Macaca fascicularis: one gene and its partner. The protein of the gene in region 2 purifies or fractionates together with the protein of the main gene of each other region. This does not show direct contact. Links are inferred from orthologs where the notes say so. Each region holds a gene or a part of one and is shown on either strand. Other genes may lie near its edges. The genes, in order: MTCL2 and RNF41.

Region 1 (11,272 bases), on a different chromosome or scaffold from region 2:
CCCAGGATCCCAGGACCCCCAGCTCCAGAAGGTTACAAAGTCAAGCCCCTGGCCACACTCCTCAGTGTTCCCAGCAGCCTTGTGGAAGGAAGCCTAGTGAGCCACTAAAAACAGTTTAGTTTGTACACATTAGCTCCAGGGAGACACAGACCAGGATTTCCTGTTTCTGTGTGTGGATGTCACAGCCCGCGTGTGTGTGTGTGTGTGTGTGTGTGTGTGTGTGTGTGTGTGTGTGTGTGTGTGTGTGTGTGTGTGTAGGTTCCCTGGTTTGAGAGCCTCTGGCTCCTGTTGGCAAATGCTACATGCCTAATGTTTGCATGCCAGACTGTGCCGTGTCCCTGCTGATGTGCATGTGACTGTGTGTGCTATCTGTGTGTAAATGTCTGCGTGGGAGTCCCCTTGGTGGGTGTCTGTAAGCCTCAGGTAAGTGTGCAAGTCTCTGCTGCTCTCTTTGTGGAAGAGGCAGGGGAGGTACCTGGGTGGTGAGCTTGTGCCTGGGCCAGCCTGGCAAGCGTAGATGTGTCGACTTCCGTGGATGCTAGTGTGTGTGTATAATGTCTGCGTGGGTTTGTATCCCCGCCTTCATGTGTACTTCTGATGAGTCTGAGTGTGTCTGCAGGATGTCAGTCTCTGGGGCATATCCGGGTGTGTCTGGGGGTGTAAGACGTGTATATGAGGATGTGTTTCTGACCTGGGGGTTGCAACAGGGTCTCAGCCTCCATTGTGTCTGTGTGGTGATGCGTGGGTGTGATGGAACGGGAGTTGTGTAGCTGCTTGGGTGTGTGCACTTCTCTGAGTGAGCATCCTCTCTAATATGTCTGGAAGCGTGCTTCCGAAAGCATCCAACACCAGCGAGTCACTGGATGGGTCTGTGAGACATGTGCCAGTGGTTGTGTGTCTCTGAGCTTGAGCTGTGAATACATATATGTGCATTTGTATATACAAGAGAGAGTGTGCCCAGGGACACAGGCTCGGCCCCTGGGAGGCTGAGGCTGGGCCTCAGGATAGGGAGCAGCCAAGAGTTTTGCTGACTGTGGTAACCTTGTCTCCTCCACCCAGTGACAGACTGGAGTCCTCCCCTGTAGCTCCTGGGAGCCGAGAAGAGAAGAGCTACATGCAGAAGCCTACTACGTGGTCACTGAGTCCAGACACCCAGCACAGGGCCTGGTACCCCGGACCCACTGGGGAAATATGTGTTGAATGAATGAATGAATGCCTGGAGAAACAGACAAGGGAACGGCAATGACTGGGAAGGACACTAACATTCACTGTGCACTCTATCTGCATCCTCACACTGAAAAGGGTCCTCACGGCCCCGGGTGGGCATGCTTGTCCCCCATGTTACAGAAGAAGGAACAATCTCACACGTGTGCACACACAAACGTCCTCCACTAACCCCCACCTCCCCCAGGCTCCGGGCCCCCAGCATGCCTTAGCCTAGAGCCTGGTCCATGACAGGATTCCTCTCACCAACCTGTGTCCCAGCCTAGACACGCTAGTTAGCAACCAAAAGCTCACTGCTCTGGTCACACTGCAGAAAGAACAGGCCCAGAGTTAGACCAACCTGGTTGGAATCCTGGTTATGTAACTTAGAGCCTCCATTTACTGATCTGTAAAATGGCAAGCGGGGATGGATTAGGTGCTTCCTCCAGGCCCTTCTGAGCTGACACCTAGACTGGCTGCACTTCAAACACTCACATCTAGAATCACCCAGGAGGGAGCCCACACACACGGCAGGGAAGGTGATCACACCTTCCCATCCTCCTTGGGACAGCTACTGATGTATCAACATTCTAAAACTAAGGAAATCCACCCTCCTGCATTCTCCCAGTTCCTCCAAGAATGCAGACACAGACCTCCTGTCTGCCCATTGGCTATGAATAACAACAATTCCTCAGGTGACTTGGGATTTCACTGCTAGCAAAATGTTTTCTTGTCTATTCATACTTCCCTGATTCCTGATGACAATCATATGAGATTGTCCGGGCAGGTTCCATCACCTTTACTTATTTTTTTTTTTAAGACAGAGTTTCACTCTGTTTCCCAGGCTACAGTGCAGTGGCGCGATCTCAGCTCACTGCAACCTCCGCCTCCCACGGTCAAGTGATTCTCCTGCCTCAGCCTCCTGAGTAGCTGGGATTACAGGCGCGTGCCACCACGCCTGGGTAATTGTTGTATTTTTAGTAGAGATGGGGTTTCACCATGTTGGCCAGCCTGGTTTTGAGCTCCTGACCTCAGATGATCCGCTCGCCTCGGCCTCCCAAAATGCTGGCATTACAGGCATGAGTCACCGCGCCAGGCCCCATCACCTTTATTATATAGATGAGAAAAAAAGCAGCTCAGAGAAGCCAGGTAACTTGCCCATGGCCACACAGTAAATGGGAGAGTCAGGTTTCAAAGTCAGGTCTTCAGGCTCCAACTCTCAGACTCCTCCATCCACACCCAGTGGGTTCCTACATGTCCTGGTCACATGGTACATGCTTAACGGTTAGTGGTGATGAAAGGCTGGAAGACCTCAGATCACCGGGTCTTTGAAGGTCACAGGTGACGTGTCTGCTCTGCAGCTAAAGCTGCATCTTAGCATCCTGGAACCTCAGTAGTTAATAACCTTCAGACTTCCTTGGCTAGAAGGGACCCAAGGTCAGGCAGCTCAGCTGCAGCCACCACATCAATCTCCCTCTGAACCCTCCTCAAGCAATCATTCCACAAACCCTCTGTCTTTATCCAAGCATGAAAGGTCATCTGGCCTCTTTCTGAATAATTAAAGTGACAGTAAGCTCACTACCTTCTCTGTAGAAGCTCCTTCTATCTTCTCACTGGGAGACAGCTGCCCAATTTATGCTTTCCTCACTTGGGCCCCAGAGCAGGCCACACCAGACTGGAGATCACCCAAGAGTCCTTCCCAATAGACAGTTCCCAGTGACCCCTACAAGGGGGAGGTAAGCCTGAGCAGGGCCATCCACCAGACGTGGTGGGACCTCCTTCAACTCTGCTCCTGCAGGGGACATTCTGGGGATTTGGAGTCCTTTCCCTTGTACTCAGTTTCCGCATCTTAGAGGCAAAGTAGTCCAGAAAGGCAGAAAACACATCGAGTCTAACAAGCCTGTAATCCCAGCACTTTGGGAGGCCGAGACGGGCGGATCACGAGGTCAGGAGATCGAGACCATCCTGGCTAACACGGTGAAACCCCGTCTCTACTGAAAAATACAAAAAACTAGCCGGGCAAGGTGGCGGGCGCCTGTAGTCCCAGCTACTCGGGAGGGTGAGGCCGGAGAATGGTGTAAACCCGGGAGGCGGAGCTTGCGGTGAGCGGCGATCCGGCCACTGCACTCCAGCCTGGGCGACAGAGACTCCGTCTCAAAAAAAAAAAAAAACAAGTCTAACACATGCTGCCGGGCGCGGTGGCTCACGCCTGTAATCGCAGCACTTTGGGAGGCCGAGGCAGGTAGATCACCTGAGGTCCAGAGTTCAAGACCAGCCTGACCAACATGGAGAAACCCCATCTCTACTAAAAATACAAAATTAGCCAGGCGTGGTGGCACGTGCCTGTAATCCCAGCTACTCCGGAGGCTGAGGCAGGAGAAAGGCTTAAACCCAGGAGGCGGAGGTTGCTGTGAGCCGAGAGTGCACCATTGCACTCTAGCCTGGGCAACAAGAGTGAAATTCCGTCTCAAAAAAAAAAAGAGTCTAACACACGCTTACTCCAAGCCCTGGCAGCCTAGATTCCCGGCTCTGGGACCCGGAGCAAGTCTCTTCCCCACTCTGGCCACAGTTTTCCCATCTGTGGAATAAACAAAACAACACCTCCAGTAATAACCCCTCTGTGGTCCACGTTCAATCTCTGGATTTTGACCCTGCCTCTGTGAGGCTGGCGGCTGGGATACACAGATATCCAGACAAGTTAAGGGGCTAACCCAAATGTATACACAGTGAGAAGTGGCATGGGCTGGCCTTGCTCTCCTCTCTCACCCACACTCCTTCCCCTCTCTGGCCTCAGCGCTGTTCTTGAACTCAACAAGCTCTTTCCAATTTCCCTCAGCCTGAAATCTTCTTACCTCAGCCCCAACCTTTGTGTGCTCCTGGCAAACTGTCCCCTTCACCCTCATTATGATCTGTGTTGTGATTTCTTGTATGACTATTGTTTAATTCCGGTCTCCCCCAAAGCTCTACGAAAACAGACACCTCACCCTCTCTCGTCCACGGCTGTATCCCAGATCTGTGCTGGCACACAGCAGGTTCTAAATAAACAGCGGGCGAATGAACCAAGGAGGGGCCGGGAGGAAGAGCCCAGCCTGCCTTAGGCGATGAAGAGGATCTACTCTGCCCTCACAGAACCCACAAGAGAACAGGCTGGGTGCACATGGAAACGTGTCCCATGCCACTGACAAGAGCAGTGATCGGAGGCTTACTACATACCAGGTGCTCTAATGGCGTTTGCAGGCATCAGCTCATTTAACCCTTGAGGTTGGAAAGCGTTTGTTACTGTCCCATTTTTACAAATGAGAAATCTAAGGTCCAGGGCTGTTAAGTAACTTGCCAAAGATCAGGCAGTCAGGAAGCGACAGACCCCAGACCCAACAGCAGCATGAAGCCTGAGCCACTGAATGAACAGTGGAAATTATGGCTCCATGCTGGCCCAGATGTGGGATGTCCCCAGCTGGGCCCTGGCCCCTGTGAGATCCCGGGCTCAACCCCCAGCCTCCTGGGATTGTTTTCCCCTTTAAACAGTCATGGGTGCCTCAAATGGACTTTGGGTCGGAGCCTGATGACTTCCTGGGACGGAGAGGAGCCCATGGGGATGGGTGCCTAGGAGCCCTGAAGCAAAGCTCTGCAACCCATCCCCCCCTCACCAGAGTGAGTAGCAGGAACTGGGAGGCAGGGGTGAGGAGCTCAGAGTTTCGGTTAACGCCAATTCAGGCAGCACTCACTGGAAGCAGCTCAGAGCACCAAGAGGGCAGGAGCAAAAGACCCTTGTCCTGGCTGGTCGCCTCCCTCTTCCTCCTCACCTTCCACTTGCCCTCTCCTTACCACCAGCTTCTGAAGACTCTAAGAGCCGACTGAACTCCCAGTTGCCAACACCGAACCAGGCCCTTGGGAAGACATCCTCCCATTTAACAGATGAGGAGACTGAGGCCTGGCTTGGGGAACGGTGTCTCTTGATTCAGACAGACCTTGTCCTTCCACACTACAAGCATTTACAGAACTCAAGCTGGAGAGCAGATCCCGGGGAAAATGGGGAGACAGAGACACAGTTGAGCAAGACACCAACACTCTAATGAGGGAGAAGCCCATTTGGCCAGAATAGCCACAAGGAAAAGTTAAAAGCTAAGTGCTGCAGGGCAGACATAAATCAGCAGCATGCTGTGAGCGCCACGGCCAGGGGCACTCTGGGTGTTGTGCCAGGCCATTCACTGTCAAGAGTCGGCAACATTTCAGCCTCCTCCAAAACCGTGCCCAGCCAGTGGCAGGAGAGCTCAGGAAGCTTCTAGCCTCCCAGGGAGAGGTCAACACGTGCAAGCTGGGCTGTCCCTAAAGTTGCCACAGCACCAGGAAGCGCGCAGATGGAGCCTGGCCGGCACCCAGTAGGTGCTCACATCCACTGAAAAAGCAAAGGCAAAGCCTGCTGTCCGGGGGAAGCCCTGGGGTCCCCACATGGCCACAGGGAAGGCCCCTTCCAGGTGGGCAGCTACCCTCCTCTCACTGGGAACATGGAAAGGCACTGGCCACGAGGGGCCAGTGGAGCTGCTGTGTGCACAAGGTCTGCCCCAGGGAGGGCAAAACACAGCCCTGGGATTTAGGAAGCTGCCTCTGAACCGGTTCTCCCACGACATCATCCTCCAGGCTGTGGGACCGTTAGGCTGGGCGGAAGTGGACTCCAGCCAAGGGGATGTTCCCAGATGTCATGCTTTCAAACTGGACCCGCCCAGAAAGGCAGGCAGAGACAGGCCTGCGCCCGGGAAAGCCCTGGGTAACGACTCAGGGTGGCATTCAGGCCTCTCCTGGGCAGGGGATGGCCACAGGCTTCCCTGGCGGTGGTGCCCACCAATCTTGTCCCAGGAAGGAGAGCCTGGGCGTGGAGGTTCTGGGCAGCTGAAGGCAGAGATCCATCCCTTCCCTGCCTACCCACCCCCAGCCCAGCAACGCCCCCCAGAACGCTCCAAAGCTGTTTTCTCAAGTCCCCGCTCCCAGGTTAGGGCCCTGTGGCCAGTTCCAAGGTCTTTTTCAGGAGCATGCTTCCCAAATAAAGTTGAGGCGGTGGGGAATGAGGGAGCCCCAGATCCACCTCAGAGTGGTCCCCAGGGCTTGGGCCTCTTTCTCCGGATTCTTCAGTGGGAAGGAGGGCCGGCTGGTGCCTCAGGCCCGCGGGACTGTGACAGCCGGTGCCCCCCGCGGTCCCCCTTTCCCCCGGGCGCCCCCACCTTGAGATAGTCGTTCTCCGAGCGCAGCTCCTCCAGCTCCCGCACCAAACCGCCGGGCCCGCAGTCCAGCATCTCCTCGGTGAGGTCGGAGAAGGCGAGCGAGGCGCTGAGCGGCAGGCGGCTGCTGCCCACCGACGACGCAGCCACCGACGGCTCGTCCGGGGAGGCGGGCGGCCGCGGGGGCTGCTGCGCCGAAGGCGCCGGCTGGGCCGGCTGCCCTGTGCGGACCCCCGCAGGGCCTCCGGCCGCGGACTCGGCGTCGCTGCTCAGCGCCAGCTCCAGGCCCAGCAGGCGCGCTTCCTCCGACGCGCAGTCCGACACCTCTGAGCTGCTATCCGTGAGGCTGGGAGGTGGCGGTGGCGGTCGCGGCCCCGCACCCGGCCGCGGACGGCCCTTGGCACGGACCCCGGTGCGGACCCCAGCCACCCGCGCCCCCGCGCCCCGTGCCCCGGGCGCCACTGCGCGCCCCTTCTTGTCCGGCCGTGCGGAGGACGCGGCGCTGCAGGCGACGGCTGCGCCCGGGCCTGGGCCGCGGCGGCCCTTAGCCAGCGACCAGCCGGCCACGTCTTTGGGCCGGGCCGGCGACGGCGCGCGGTGGCTCTTTTTCCTCTCCGGGGCGGGCGCGGGTGCGGGCGCGGGCTGGGGACCGCAGCCCCGGACCGGGGGCTCGGTCGCCGGCGCCTCCATCGCGGCCTCCCTCGGCCTCAGCGAGCTGCGCGCATGGCCCAGGCCCGCCCGGCCTCGACGTCCCTGGGGAGGGACCCGGCGCGGCTCCGGCCGCTCGGCCTGCGGCTGCTCTCGGCCCACCTCGGCCCCGACACCGCGTCTCCGCCCCAAGCCCCGCCGCGCGGTCTCTCCGCTGCTCTGGGCTCGGAGAGTGCGGCCCGACCGCCTCCAGGCGCCCCGGCTCCGGCTGCGGCTCCGCCCGGCGCCCGCCCCCTCGGCCTCGCCGCGCCCCCGGAGCGCGCCCGGGCCCCCGCCGCCCGCACGCCGATCGCTCCCTCGGGCTCCGAGTCCGGCTGCGGCCCGGGCCCCGGCTCCGCCCGGCGCGGCCCGCCCCCCGCGCAGCCCCGCCAGCTCCCCGCCCCGCCGCCTCGGCTCGGGGGCGCGCGGTTCCACGAACAAAAGGCGGACGCGGCGAGAGCGGCAGGGAGGGACGCAAGCAGGGAGCGAGGGAGGGACGCAAGCAGGGAGCGAGGGAGGGATCTGCGAGGCAACAGCGACCCCCTCGAGGGTCAGGCGGGCGCGGGCAGCCGCTGCCCGGGCTCCCTCCTCCTCCGCTCCGCCGCCTCCTTCCCTGCCCGCCCGGGGAACGCACCCGGCGGAGGCGCCCCTGCGCCCGGCGTCCGGGCAGGGCCCGCGAGAGCGGCGGGAGCCGGGACTCCCGGGCCGAGGCCGCGCGGACCTCAGTTCGCAGGAGCCCGTATCCATGCACACCCAGCGCGCCTCGCCCCTCGCCCGGTGCAGAGCGTGCGCGAACTCCGCCCCCTCAGCCGGCACCGCCGGAGCAGCGATCCCATCGCACAGATGCGTAAACTGAAGCCCGGGGTGCACGCGCCAAGCTCACGGTCTAGACGGTGCCGATGGAACCCAAAGCTCACACCTCCCGGGCGCGCTCGGGCTCCCCCTGCCTCAGCTTGCCTCCCCTGGGGTAGGGACCGTGGAGCCCTGCGTGCATGTCTGGCTCGCGCACCTTGACCGGCGAAGATTACTCCCCATGCGCCCCCCGACCCGGGTTTCAGGCTATGTAAGGCTAAAATGGAAGCGACCTGTGGCCGGGCGCGGTGGCTCATGCCTGTAATCCCAGCACTTTGGGAGGCCGAGGCGGGCGGATCACGAGGTCAGGAGTTCGAGACCAGCCTGACCAACATGGTGAAACCCCGTCTCTACTAAAAATACAAAATTAGCCGGGCGTGGTGGGGATGCCTGTAATCCCAGGTACTCGGGAAGCTGAGTCAGGAGAATCGCTTGAACCTGCGAGGCAGAGGTTGCAGTGAGCCGAGATCGCGCCATTGCACTCCAGGCTGTATGACAGAGCTAGACTCCATCTCAAAAAAATAAATAAATAAATAAATGCAAAAATAAAATGGAGGCGACCCATTACGAGATGTCAGCCTAGCGGATGCTTTGGAAGGCGGTTTTGGCCCCGGTGGGGGCTGGCATGGGCTGGGACGGTTGCCCTGACCCCACATGTCCCCACCAGGAGCATCGCAGGAGGACTTGAGCTCTGGTGGGTGTGTTTTCTTTCCTCCCGGGCGTCTGGGCGTCTCCTTGGCTCCTGGCCGTGTTGATTTTCCCGTGTCTCTCACACCTTCCCCAGCCCCCACGCCACCTGGCTGCTGTGCCCCATCCCTGAGCCACCGCAGGGCAGAGCTGGATTGAGTCCTTTGCCCCACAGATGGACCCTCGGCCTCAAGACGCCCCACACCCCTTGCCACCAGGAGGGCAGGACTGTTTTTGCCCCTCTGCAGCCTCTTCCTCCTCCTGTTCCCTTCTCCCCCTCCCATTTATCCCCTGCTCTATTTTCCTCCTTCTTCTCCCACCTTTCCCCTTCCTTCCCCCCTCCTTTTCCAAGTCTTCCTTTTCCTCCTCTTTCCCCTCTTCTTCCTCCTGCCCATTTTCTCCTTCTTCCTCCCCCAATCCCCTTCCTTCACCTCTGCACCTGCCTGTGACACAGCAGGCACCAGGTCCACTTCTTTGTCTCTGTCCCACCTCCCCCACACGCAGTGAATACACTCCTGGGGCATCCCCTCTCTCCAGAGGCGTGACTCCATCTGGATCCAGGCGTGTGACTGCTCCTCCACCCCAACGCTAAGTGCCCTCCACGCGGCCAAGTGAGGAGCGGGCACTCAGCAGGCTCTTGGCAAATACTTCCGCAGGGGCATCCCCACCCTTCCTGGCAAGACACCAACTCGCCTCACCCCCCACTGACTGTCCACAAACCCTGTTTGCACAGGCGCCAGGTACACTGAGGGACGCAGTGGTGGGCGTGTCAGTGCCTGACCTCGTGGAGCACACAGTGTGTGTGGGGGACCACAAAAGACTCAGCACAAACAGGGTGGCATGGCACGGCATGGGGGGCAGGAGTGTTGGAGAAGGATGTGGGAGCCGCAGGCTAGTGACCCAGGGCAGGCCTTCCCACATTCCGGGCCTCAGAGTCCCCAGCTGCTCTGGTCTAATGCAACAGATGACGGGATCCGTCCAGCTCAGATGCCCCTGGCTCTAGCAGGCTGCATCTAGTCTGGCACAGAAACGTGCTGTGAAGCTCTTGGAAAGCGTGTCCTCTCTCTATGCTTCAGTTTCTCCCACTATGCAGAACATGGACTTGGAGGTGTTGGGTGGTGTGAATGCAGGGACATAGCAGACCAGGCTGGCTCAGCCACTCCTGACACATCCTTGGTCACATCAGTGGTCCTGAGATTAAAGTGGCCTGCATCTCTCTACTAGGGCGGGGATCTGAGTCCTGGCTCTACCATGTATCCTCTCTGGGCCCAACACTCATGGCTGGCCAGGAAGGGGCCTGTGACTCCCACCTGCTGTGATGTTCTTTGGATTTGGGGAGTCAAGAATCTATATTGCAGACCCAGGGAAGCCTTGAGAACAACAGGGCCCTGGTGGGGAGGGTTTAGGTGGGGCTGATGTAGGGACTCTGGACTCAGGGTCAGTTCAGACCAGGGATACCACAAAGGAGATGAGACTTATTGAGAGTCCAGAACTGGCTACATTGTAGACAGGGTGACCGTCCTTGCTGCCAGCACATCCTGCAGCTGTGTGACATATGGCCTCTCTCTGCGTGCCGGGCTCTATGCTCCACATTTCAGTAAAGGATCTCCAAAAGGTGAAGATACTTCTTGTAGCTGATTAATATTTTCCAAAGGGTGTATCTCATCCCGGTTGCTTTTCTTACAATGTGTCACTGATGCTCCTCCGATTGAGCAGCACGGTCTGTGTGCCCCCACCTTGAATCTCAGCAGATCTTGTGACTGCCTCAACCAACAGAGTATGGCAGAAGTGTTCATCTGTGACTTCCAACGTTAGGTCATAAAAAGCAACATGATTCCACCCAGCTTGTTTCTCTCTCTCTTTCTCTCTCTCCCTCTCTCTGGCCACTCACCCACCATGATGGGAGGAAGCCCAGGCCTCATGTGGAGACCGCACGAAGGTGATCTAGCCAACAACTCCAGCTCTGGTCCCCACTAACCACCAGACATGTGAGAGAGTGAGCCTGTAGATGATTCAGCCCCCAGGCTTGGAGCCACCCCAGTGGACAAGTAGAGCAGAAATGAACTGTTTCACCAACCCCGCCCAAACTGCAAAATAAATATTGTTGTTTCAGCCACTAAGTTTTGGGGTCATTTGTTACGTAGCACTGGGTAGCAGGAATGCATGACCAATACTTATACAGCTCAGAAGTAGAAGGGCCGGGATTGACTTGAACCCAGGACTGCCTGATTCCAGAGCCTGTTGTGGTACCCAATTGGGCTGCGAAGTGCCCAGTGCAGGCACATAGTGTGTGCTGCAGAAAGCTCTACTCAAAAAAGACTGAAGCATTACATTGTAAGAATTATACAACATAAGAAGTGAAGATGCTGATTACCCAAGTGGAAAAAAGGTTTCATTTCTCCCATTCAAGCTGCTAAATTGACCAACGTGATGAAAACTGAATGGAGACTCACTCCTGGAAAGTTTCCAAGAGGAGGTGTGTTTTTTTCTTTTAGACAAAAGTTGTTTTGTTTTCTTTGTTTTCTTTTTTTTTTTTTTTTTCACTATACAAATGAAAGAAACAAGCAACTCTGGCTATGGGAGAATTAGAGGAACTGGTCAGGAAACCTCTTTAAACAGGGGAGTCAGGA
Region 2 (9,831 bases):
GGAGTAGCCTAAAATCCCGGCTACTTGGAAGGCTGAGGCAGGAGAATCGCTTGAACCCGGGAGGCGGAGGTTGCAGTGACCTAAGATCACTCCACTGCACTCCAGCCTGGGCGATAGGAGCGAGACTGTCAAAAAAAAAAAAAAATGTAATGGGAAACTAAAGTGTTTTGTTTTGTTTTGAGACAGAATCTTGCTCTATCACCCAAGCTGGAGTGCAATGGCGCGATCTTGGCTCACTGCAACTTCCGCCTCCCGGGTTCAAGCAATTCTTGTGCCTCAGCTTCCCGAGTAACTGGGATTACAGGGGCGCACCACCATGTGTGGCTAATTTTTGTAATTTTAGTAGAGATGGGGGTTTCACCATGTTGGCCAGTCTGGTCTCAAACTCCTGACCTCAAGTGATCTGGCTGCCTCAGCTTCCCAAAGTGCTGGGATCACAGGCATGAGCCACTGTGCCCGGCCTTATTTAGCTTTCTTTTTGTTTTGTTTTGTTTTTTTTGAGATGGAGTCTCGCACTTTAGCCCAGGCTGGAGTGCAGTGGCATGATCTTGGCTCACTGCAAGCTCCACCTCCCAGGTTCATGCCATTCTCCTGCCTCAGCCTCCCGAGTAGCTGCGACTACAGGCGCCTGCCACCACGCCTGGCTAATTTTTTGTATTTTTAGTAAAGACGGGGTTTCACTGTGTTAGCCAGGATGGTCTCAATTTCCTGACCTCGTGATCCGCCCGCCTCAGCCTTCCAAAGTGCTGGGATTACAGGCGTGAGCCGCCACGCCTGGCCTAGCTTTCTGACGTTGAATTTTTGCCAGTAAATATGTTCTCCTGCTCTCTAAATCTATCATCTGAATTATCCTTCAAGACCATATCAAATTTGGTCCTCTTCATAAATACCTGCCGTGATTGAGCTAGCCTGAAAAGACTTCACCCTCCTCTGGACATTTTTGGCAATTATTGTGTGTGCAATCCAGATGGCAATTAATAATTGGCTGCCTTGTGTCATCTGTCCTATTGTCCTGGAATATCATTTATATCTCTTATTGTTATATAACATTTTACTTGTTTGTCTTGTTTCACAACTCATTTTTAATCTTGAGCACAGGGAACATAGATATATATTTTTTGAAACAGGTCCTGGCTCTGTCACCCAGGCTGGAGTGCAGTGGTGCAGTCTTGGTTCACTGCAACCTCCGCCTCCTGGGCTCAAGCCACCCTCCGTCCTCCCACCTCAGCCTTCTGGCTAGCTGGGACTATAGGCACGTGCCACCATGCCCAGCTAATTTTTTTTTTTTTTTTTTGAGATGGAGTCTTATTCTTTTGCCCAGGCTGGAGTGCAGTGGTGCAGTCTTGGCTCACTGCAATCTCCACCTCCTGGGTTCAAGTGATTTTTCTGCCTTAGCCTCCTGAGTATCTGTGATTATAGGTGTGCACCACCACCCCTGGCTAATTTTTTTGTATTTTTAGTAGAGACAGGGTTTCACCATGTTGGTCAGGCTGGTCTTGAACTCCTGACCTCGTGGTCCGCCTGCCTTGGCCTCCCAAAGTGCTGGGATTACAGGCATGAGCCACTGCGCCTGGCCTACACCCGGCTAATTTTTGTAACTTTTGTAGAGATGGGGTTTTGTCATGTTGTCTGGGATGGTCTCAAACTCCTGAGGTCAAACAGTGTGCCTACCTTAGCCTCCCAAAGTGCTGGGATTATAGGCATGAGCCACCGTGCCCAGCAGGAAACATATCTTAAGCCTGTCCCCTACAATGCCTTGCCCATAGTAGATCTATACTTTGCTTGACCCAACGGACCTCTTGCGGTAGAAGCTGCTCAAAGGCATGATTGGCTTTGTAGAGTTATCATATCCAGGCTCTTAGGTCCTGCTAATTCCCTTATGCCCCTTTTGCCTTGTTCTCCTAGGCACCTCATTGTGAACATGCTTTCTGCAACGCCTGCATCACCCAGTGGTTCTCTCAGCAACAGACATGTCCAGTGGACCGTAGTGTTGTGACGGTCGCCCATCTGCGCCCGGTACCTCGGATCATGCGGAACATGCTGTCAAAGCTGCAGATTGCCTGTGACAACGCTGTGTTTGGCTGTAGTGCCGTTGTCCGGCTTGACAACCTCATGTCTCACCTCAGCGACTGTGAGCACAACCCGAAACGGCCTGTGACCTGTGAACAGGGCTGTGGGTGAGATCTGTTCCCTTCTTCTGCCCCACATGGATAAGGGCCATCTCATTTATGCCCCTATCGCTGGATGCCCTCCTCACTAGCTGAGGAGGTCTCTTAGGCATGTTGGCAAGGAGTATTCTTAGCCTCCTTGGCTCCCTGCTCTAAGATCTGACTTTCTTGCTGCTTTTCCAACTATAATAATTTTGCTCTTGCTTTAACAAAAGAAGGGGCACAGCAATTCAGTAAATTTGTATAATAACACTAAAGGTTGATTGACTCTGTTCTTCCCTTTCAGTCCAATACTACTTTCTGTTTGTCAGTTTGACTGCTGTAATTGCCAGCCTTCTCATATTTCCTCTGACCCTATTTTTTCTTTCTGTGAGTTATGAAATATTTGACTAAATGTTGATAGCTGAGGGGTGTGTTAGCTCACACCTGTAATCCTAGCACTTTGGGAGGCCAAAGTGGGCAGGTCACTTCAGGCCAGGAGTTCAAGACTAACCTGGCCAACATGGCAAAACCTAGTCTCTATTAAAAATATAAAAATTGCCGGGCGCGGTGGCTCACGCCTGTAATCCCAGCACTTTGGGAGGCCGAGGCGGGCGGATCACAAGGTCAGGAGATCGAGACCACGGTGAAACCCCGTCTCTACTAAAAATACAAAAAATTAGCCGGGCGCGGTGGCGGGCGCCTGTAGTCCCAGCTACTCAGGAGGCTGAGGCAGGAGAATGGCATGAACCCGGGAGGCGGAGCTTGCAGTGAGCCGAGATCGCGCCACTGCACTCCAGCCTGGGCAACAGAGCGAGACTCTGTCTCAAAAAATAAATAAATAAATAAATAAAAATAAAAATACAAAAATTAGCCAGGTGTGGGGCCGGGTGTGGTGGCTCACGCCTGTAATCCCAGCACTTTGGGAGGCCAAGGCAGGCAGATCATGAGGTCAGGAGATTGAGACCATCCTGGCTAACACGGTGAAACCCCATCTCTACAAAAATACAAAAAATTAGCCAGGTGTGGTGGCAGGCGCCTGTAGGGGAAAGCTACTTGGGAGACTGAGGCAGGAGAATGGCGTGAACCAGGGAGGAGGAGCTTGCAGTGAGCCGAGATCACGCCACTGCACTGTAGCCTAAGCAACAGAGCAAGACTCTGTCTCAAAAAAAAAAAAAAAAATTAGCCAGGTGTGGTGGTGCATGCCTGTAATCCCAGCTACTTGGGAGGCTGAGGCATGAGAATCGCTTAAAACCAGGAGGTAGAGGTTGCAGTGAGCTGAGATCACACCATTGCACTCCAGCCTGGGCTGGACTCTGTTCCCCCTAACTAACTAACTAAGAAATAAAAAGAATGTTGATAGCTGGGGCTGTGAATATAGGGCTTCTCTGAAGCAATAAGTGCACAGGCAGAATCTGTAGGAGGAAAAGGAGAGCTGTGCAGTAGATAAAAACAGTGTGTCAAAATAAATAAATAGTCCCAGTGCGGTGGCTCACGCCTATAATCCCAGCACTTGGGAGGCTGAGGCGGGTGGATCACCTGAGGTCAGGAGTTCAAGACCAGTGTAGCCAACATGGTGAAACCCTGTCTCTACTAAAAATACAAAAATTAGCCAGGCGTCATGGCGGGCACCTGTAATCCCAGCTGCTCAGGAGGCTGAGGCACAAGAATTGCTTGAACCCCATGAGGCAGAGGTTGCAGTGAGCCAAGACTGTGCCATTACACTCCAACCTGGGCAACAAGAGTGAAACCTGGTCTCAAAAAAAAAAAAGTAAAATAAGAGGCCAGGCACAGTGGCTCACACCTGTAATCCCAGCACTTTGGGAGGCCAAGGCAGTGCAGATCACATGAGGCCAAGAGTTTGAGACCAGCCTGGCTAACATGGGGAAACCCGTTTCTACTAAAAATACAAAAAGTTAGCTGGGCATGGTGGCGCACGCCTGTAATCCCAGCTACCCGGGAGGCTAAGGCAGGAGAAATCGCTTGAACCTGGGAGGCAGAGGTTGTGCTGAGCTGAGATCGTGCCATTGCACTCCAGTTTGCGCAACAAGAGCGAAACTCCATGTCAAAAAAAAAAAAAAGATAAAAAATAAAATAAGATAAAATAAATATAAAAAGTAGATAAAACACTGTGTCTTGATTGGGGAAAGAAATTTAAGGAAAATAGACAGCAAAGGGGCAAGTAGGAAGCTTGGAAGAAGAAAGTGAAGGGAATGAATGAGGGAGGCCTGAAATGAATGTTAGAAATTTTGGGTAGGACAAAATCTACTCAGCAGTTATCTGCCACAGAATAGGCCATTTGCATACATGTCCTGGTGATCACCCCTGTTCTGCTCTTTCCCCACCCTGGTCTGCAGCCTGGAGATGCCCAAAGATGAGCTGCCCAACCATAACTGCATTAAGCACCTGCGCTCAGTGGTACAGCAGCAGCAGACACGCATCGCAGAGCTGGAGAAGACGTCAGCTGAACACAAACACCAGCTGGCGGAGCAGGTAGGCCCCAAGACACGGGGGAGAACATATCCCTCATATGCAGATAACTGCCTGCCTGTGGGTAATAAAACCAGTTGTGAACACATAGACCTGTGCTTACACTTGTGAGTTTGGATGAGTGGCTATTCTGCCTGTGGCTTAGCAGGGAATCAGATTGGAGCTCTCCTTGACTTTCCTTCATCCCATTCATAGCATTCATTCACCTAACAGTTACCAGATGCCTCCTCTGTGAAGGCACATTTTGTAAGTACTAAGGAGGCAGCTGTGAGTGAGACAGTCCTATCCCTGTCTTCCTGAAGCTTACAAACTGGTTGTTCTTCAGATCTCTCAGTTGTCCTCATTCTCGGATAAACTTTTGTCTTTTTTCTGCTGTCTGCCTTAACCATTATTCCTGTTCTTCTTCTCCACAACAGAAGCGAGACATCCAGCTGCTAAAGGCATACATGCGTGCAATCCGCAGTGTCAACCCCAACCTTCAGAACCTGGAGGAGACAATTGAATACAACGAGATCCTAGAGTGAGTGTCACTCAGGACATGGAGTGATTCCACGTCCTGACAGTAAGGCCTGAAAGGCGCTAAGAGCAGGAGAGTAGCAGAAGGAGGGCATTGGAGAGCTGGGCTGGGGGGTCACTGCTTCTCAGATATTGGCATTAAGGACAGGGGCCGAGGAGAAGAGGATAACCCTTAGCTCCACTACAGGATGTCTTACGCGTTTGGGTGGATGGAAGGGAAAGCCTACCCAAGGATGCACTTTATCCAGAATTAAGTGAGTACCCATGTACAAAGCCCTGTATTAAAGGCTGTGGAGTGCTAGGAGGGCCAAAAAGAAATAGAAGATAGGCCGGGCGTGGTGGCTCACACCTGTAATCCCAGCACTTTGGGAGGCTGAGGCGGGTAGATCACGAGGTCAGGAGATCGAGACCATCCTGGCTAACACAGTGAAACCCCGTCTCTACTGAAAAAAAAAACAAAAAAATTAGCCGGGCGTGGTGATGGGCGCCTGCAGTCCCAGCTACTCCGGAGGCTGAGGCAGGAGAATGGCGTGAACCCGGGAGGCGGAGCTTGCAGTGAGCCGAGATCGCGCCACTGCACTCCAGCCTGGGCAACAGAGTGAGACTCCATCTCAAAAAAAAAAAAAAGAAATAGAAGATATTATCCCTGTCTTCAGGTAGCTTACAACCCAGAGAAGAGGAGGCAGAGTGCAAGTCCAGGAAAGTGATCTCTAAAATGCAGCAAAAACAAGTGAAGTATACAAGCGAAGTCTAAGATCTTTTTCAGTTCTGGAGTCCTATACAGTTCATAGACTAAACTGTAAGTGTGAATCAATATATATAGGGCAAATAGTGCTGAGTGGGACATAGTATAGAGGAATAATTGTTTTATTCACTAAACATAGAGCACTAACTGTGTTAGGTGCTGTATGTGCTAAGTATTGGAATTTCAAAGAAAAGTAACAGGGACAGAGTGTAGACTCGTGGAATTTAATCTGGTGAGTAACGTTTGGTGACTCAGTTGGGACCAACTGGGGAAAATTCGGGGTTTCTGAGCCAATCATGGAAGGAAAGAAGGAAGAATAGGTGAGCTGAGTGCAGAGTGGGTAGTTATTTCTATTAGCAGAAAAAGCCAATACAGAGAAAGGAGATGATCTGGAATGACCATCTTTAACCACCTCCACACAGGTGGGTGAACTCCCTTCAGCCAGCAAGAGTGACCCGCTGGGGAGGGATGATCTCGACTCCTGATGCCGTGCTCCAGGCTGTAATCAAGCGCTCCCTGGTGGAGAGTGGCTGTCCTGCTTCTATTGTCAACGAGCTGATTGAAAATGCCCATGAGCGTAGCTGGCCCCAGGGTCTGGCCACACTAGAGACTAGACAGATGAACCGACGCTACTATGAGAACTACGTGGCCAAGCGCATCCCTGGCAAGCAGGCTGTTGTCGTGATGGCCTGTGAGAACCAACATATGGGTGATGACATGGTGCAGGAGCCAGGCCTTGTCATGATATTTGCTCATGGCGTGGAAGAGATATAGGAGAACCCGACCAGCTATCAGGAAGAGATGGAAATCAGAAAATCCCATCACTCCAGCAGCTGGGACCTGAGTCCTCTCCACCATCCTTAATACTGTGGCTTATACCTGAGCCACACATCTCACTGCCCTTCTGGCACTGAAGGGCCCTGGGGTAGTTTGCTCAGCCTTTCAGGTGGGAAACCCAGATTTCCTCCCTTTGCCATATTCCCCTAAAATGTCTATAAATTGTCAGTCTGAGTGGGAAAGCCCCCACCTCCATCCATTTTCCTGCTTAGGGTTCCTGGTTCCAGTTATTTTCAGAAAGCACAAAGAGATTCAATTTCCCTGGAGTGTCAGGACAGAGTAAGGAATCTCTAGTCGTCCCTCTCCTCCAAAACCAGGGAATCAGAGCAGGCAGGCCTGTTGACTCTAAGCAGCAGACATCCTGAAGAAATGGTAAGGGTGGAGCCAAATCTCTAGAAATAAGTAGTGAGGCCAGTAATTGGCCATCACGGATGGCCCTTAGGGGAAGACTGGACCTCTGTGCCAAGCAGTATCCCTGTTCAGTCCACCTTAAAGGTGCAGGCACCCACTGGGTCTACCAGTATGCAGGTTGGGATACTGAAAATTTCCAGATGAGCTCTTCTTTCCTATAAGTTTTCATAATTAGGGAATGCCAGGGTTTAGGGTAGGGGTTAGTCTGTTGGGGTTGATGTGTTCAGCAAGAAGCTACTCCTAGCTTTTGCTAAAATATGGTCAGCACTGCCTCTTGTGGCACAGGCCATAATTGTTCCATAGAGCCCTCTCTAGCCCTGTGACTGTAGTTAGTTACTTTGATAATTTTCTTTGGCCATTGTTTATATTTCACAAACTCCACCTACTTCCCCTCCCCTTCCCCCTTTTTTTTTAAGAATGGCCTGATCATGGCTATCTCAGCCACATTGTTGGCAATTTAATTTATTTACCTTTTTTTTTTTTTTTTTTAAAGAAAGGAAAAAAGAAAAAAAATCAAACTTGAAACTTTTGATGTTCCTATTGTGGGGATTTTGGATAGGGTGGGACAGGGATGGGGGTGTGTTTTATATTTTTTCCTTTTCAGCACAACCTTTGGCTTTAATATAGGAAGAGCCAAGGGAGTCCTCGGCTGAACTTACAATATCTGCCCCAAACCTCTGTAACCCCAACTGAAATGAGGAGCTTCCTCTATTCCTGTGAAGGATATGACAGTCCAGCATCGATGCCTGTGCCCTCTGGAAAAATTTCCTCCTAGCCCTTCCAGGGCCTCATCATAAAACTCTGGATTTAGAGTATTCATTTTGAAGGCAACCCCCCGCTTCCCCAAGTTTTCTTGGAGCTGTATAGCTGGGTTCTAAGCTTCACCATGCAAATCAGAAATTTTATCTCTAAGTACAGGCTGTGCTGTGTCTCACCCACACCCCCCGGGGACTTCAGTTCCATTTCAGGTTACCTGGGGCATACCTTGATCCCTAGAGTGACTGGCAGAGTAAGTAAGAGAAGGGGAGGGATAGTAGGTGTGATAATTTTAATATGGAGGTGGGAGTGTGGTTGGAGATAGAAAGTCTCCTCCCCACCATGTGATAGCTTCCTCTCAGAGTTTTATTCCAGGCTAGCTTGCTGCAGGTCTGGGTAGTTGGATCATGGCTCCACTGGGATTGGGGTGGAGGGATACAGCTTGAGGGGAGTAGGGTTCCAGCTCCGGGACATTGTGCTCAGGAATTTGAAAACGCTGCTATACTTATTCTGGTTACTACATTTCTTCCAATCCCCTTTCCCCTACCTGCCTTACCAAGGCTTATACTGTCCTGTCCTTACCCTCAGATGGAGCCAGGAAGCTCAGTGAAAGGCTTCCCTACCCTTTGCACTAGTGTCTCTGCGGGTTGCTGGTTGTGTTGTATGTGCTGTTCCATGGTGTTGACTGCACTAATAATAAACCTTTTACTCAACTCTCTAAATTCTTCAACATTACTCCCTTTCCTGGGAAGGTTTCCCCTCTGCTTTTGCCTTTCTCTCACCTTAATTCCCCTTCTTCCTTACTTTGTTACCTACCCTTATCTTAGCGCTAACTTCTCTTTCAGGAGGATGTCTGGGAGTAGTGTGCACTTCGCAGCTGCTTTCCCATGTACCCTCCTGCATTCTTCCCTCCTATCTCCTGTTCTGTAGCAGCCAAAGGTGTCTCTCTAGTTATCTGAACTGTGTGCTTCCCAGGGTCTGCCTTCATCCTAAATTCCATGTCTTCCCTGAGTGGTCCTGAGTTTTTGGGATAATTTCTACAGAAAATATGTATATATTGTTTTCCTTTGTCCCACAAGCAACTTTGCTTTAGAATCTAGAATTCCTTTGCAGGCAGAGAAGCCTCCACCCTCCAGTGTTTCCTAACTAAGAACGTAAATGTAAGGAGGGAAATGTACTTGCAGAGGTTTCATAATTATTTACTTACAAAGATAGTCTTCATAGACCGGGCACGGTGGCTCACACCTGTAATCCCAACACTTTGGAAGGCCGAGACGGGTGGATCATGAGGTCAGGAGATCGAGACCACCCTGGCTAACATGGTGAAACCTCGTCTCTACTAAAAATATAAAAAATTAGCCAGGCATGGTGGCAGGCGCCTGTAGTCCCAGCTACTCGGGAGGCTGAAGCAGAATGGTGTGAACCTGGGAGGTGGAGCTTGCAGTGAACCGAGATTGCGCCACTGCACTCCAGCCTGGGTGACAGAGCAAGACTTCGTCTCAAAAAAAAAAAACAAAAAACAGTCTTCATAAGTATTTGCTGCTACCTTTTCCCTGTCATAAGAAAAAGGATAGCCAGGCATGGTGGACGCCCCTGTGATCCCAGATCCTTGGAAGGCTGAGGTATAAGACTAGCTTGAACCTGGAAGGTGGAGGTTGCTTTGAGCCAAGATTGCGCCACTGCACTCCAGCCTGGGTGACAGAGTAAGAGCCTGTCTCAAAAAAAGAAAAAGAAAAAGAGGATCTTTTCCCCCTCCCAGAAATATGTTTTAATTTGTTGAGCATTTATCATGCACCTAATGTAAACCTAATAGCACTTTAGATACTGTAGCGGCTTGAAAAAAAAAAAAAAAGCATTTCTGTGCTCACGGAGTCTGCATTCTATGCACACAAGGTATGATTATAAAATACTGATAAGCATGTCACAGTA

What was found.
Region 1: the proteins of RNF41 (region 2) and MTCL2 purify together in Homo sapiens (affinity purification with mass spectrometry; 3 studies listed by BioGRID and IntAct, with this or other methods). This does not show direct contact. The link is inferred for Macaca fascicularis from reciprocal best matches to the Homo sapiens genes RNF41 and MTCL2.

The regions. Positions count from the first base shown.
Region 1 is NC_088384.1:92,976,000-92,987,271, forward strand, and holds the start of MTCL2 (microtubule cross-linking factor 2), read right to left. Parts: upstream 7,301-11,272; 5' UTR 7,107-7,300; coding exon 6,420-7,106; intron 1-6,419. UniProt on the Homo sapiens protein: Microtubule-associated factor that enables integration of the centrosomal and Golgi-associated microtubules on the Golgi membrane, supporting directional migration. Preferentially acts on the perinuclear microtubules accumulated around the Golgi.
Region 2 is NC_088385.1:62,991,144-63,000,974, reverse strand, and holds the end of RNF41 (E3 ubiquitin-protein ligase NRDP1), read left to right. Parts: intron 1-1,905; coding exon 1,906-2,177; intron 2,178-4,504; coding exon 4,505-4,640; intron 4,641-5,053; coding exon 5,054-5,157; intron 5,158-6,320; coding exon 6,321-6,672; 3' UTR 6,673-8,624; downstream 8,625-9,831. UniProt on the Homo sapiens protein: Acts as E3 ubiquitin-protein ligase and regulates the degradation of target proteins. Polyubiquitinates MYD88. Negatively regulates MYD88-dependent production of pro-inflammatory cytokines.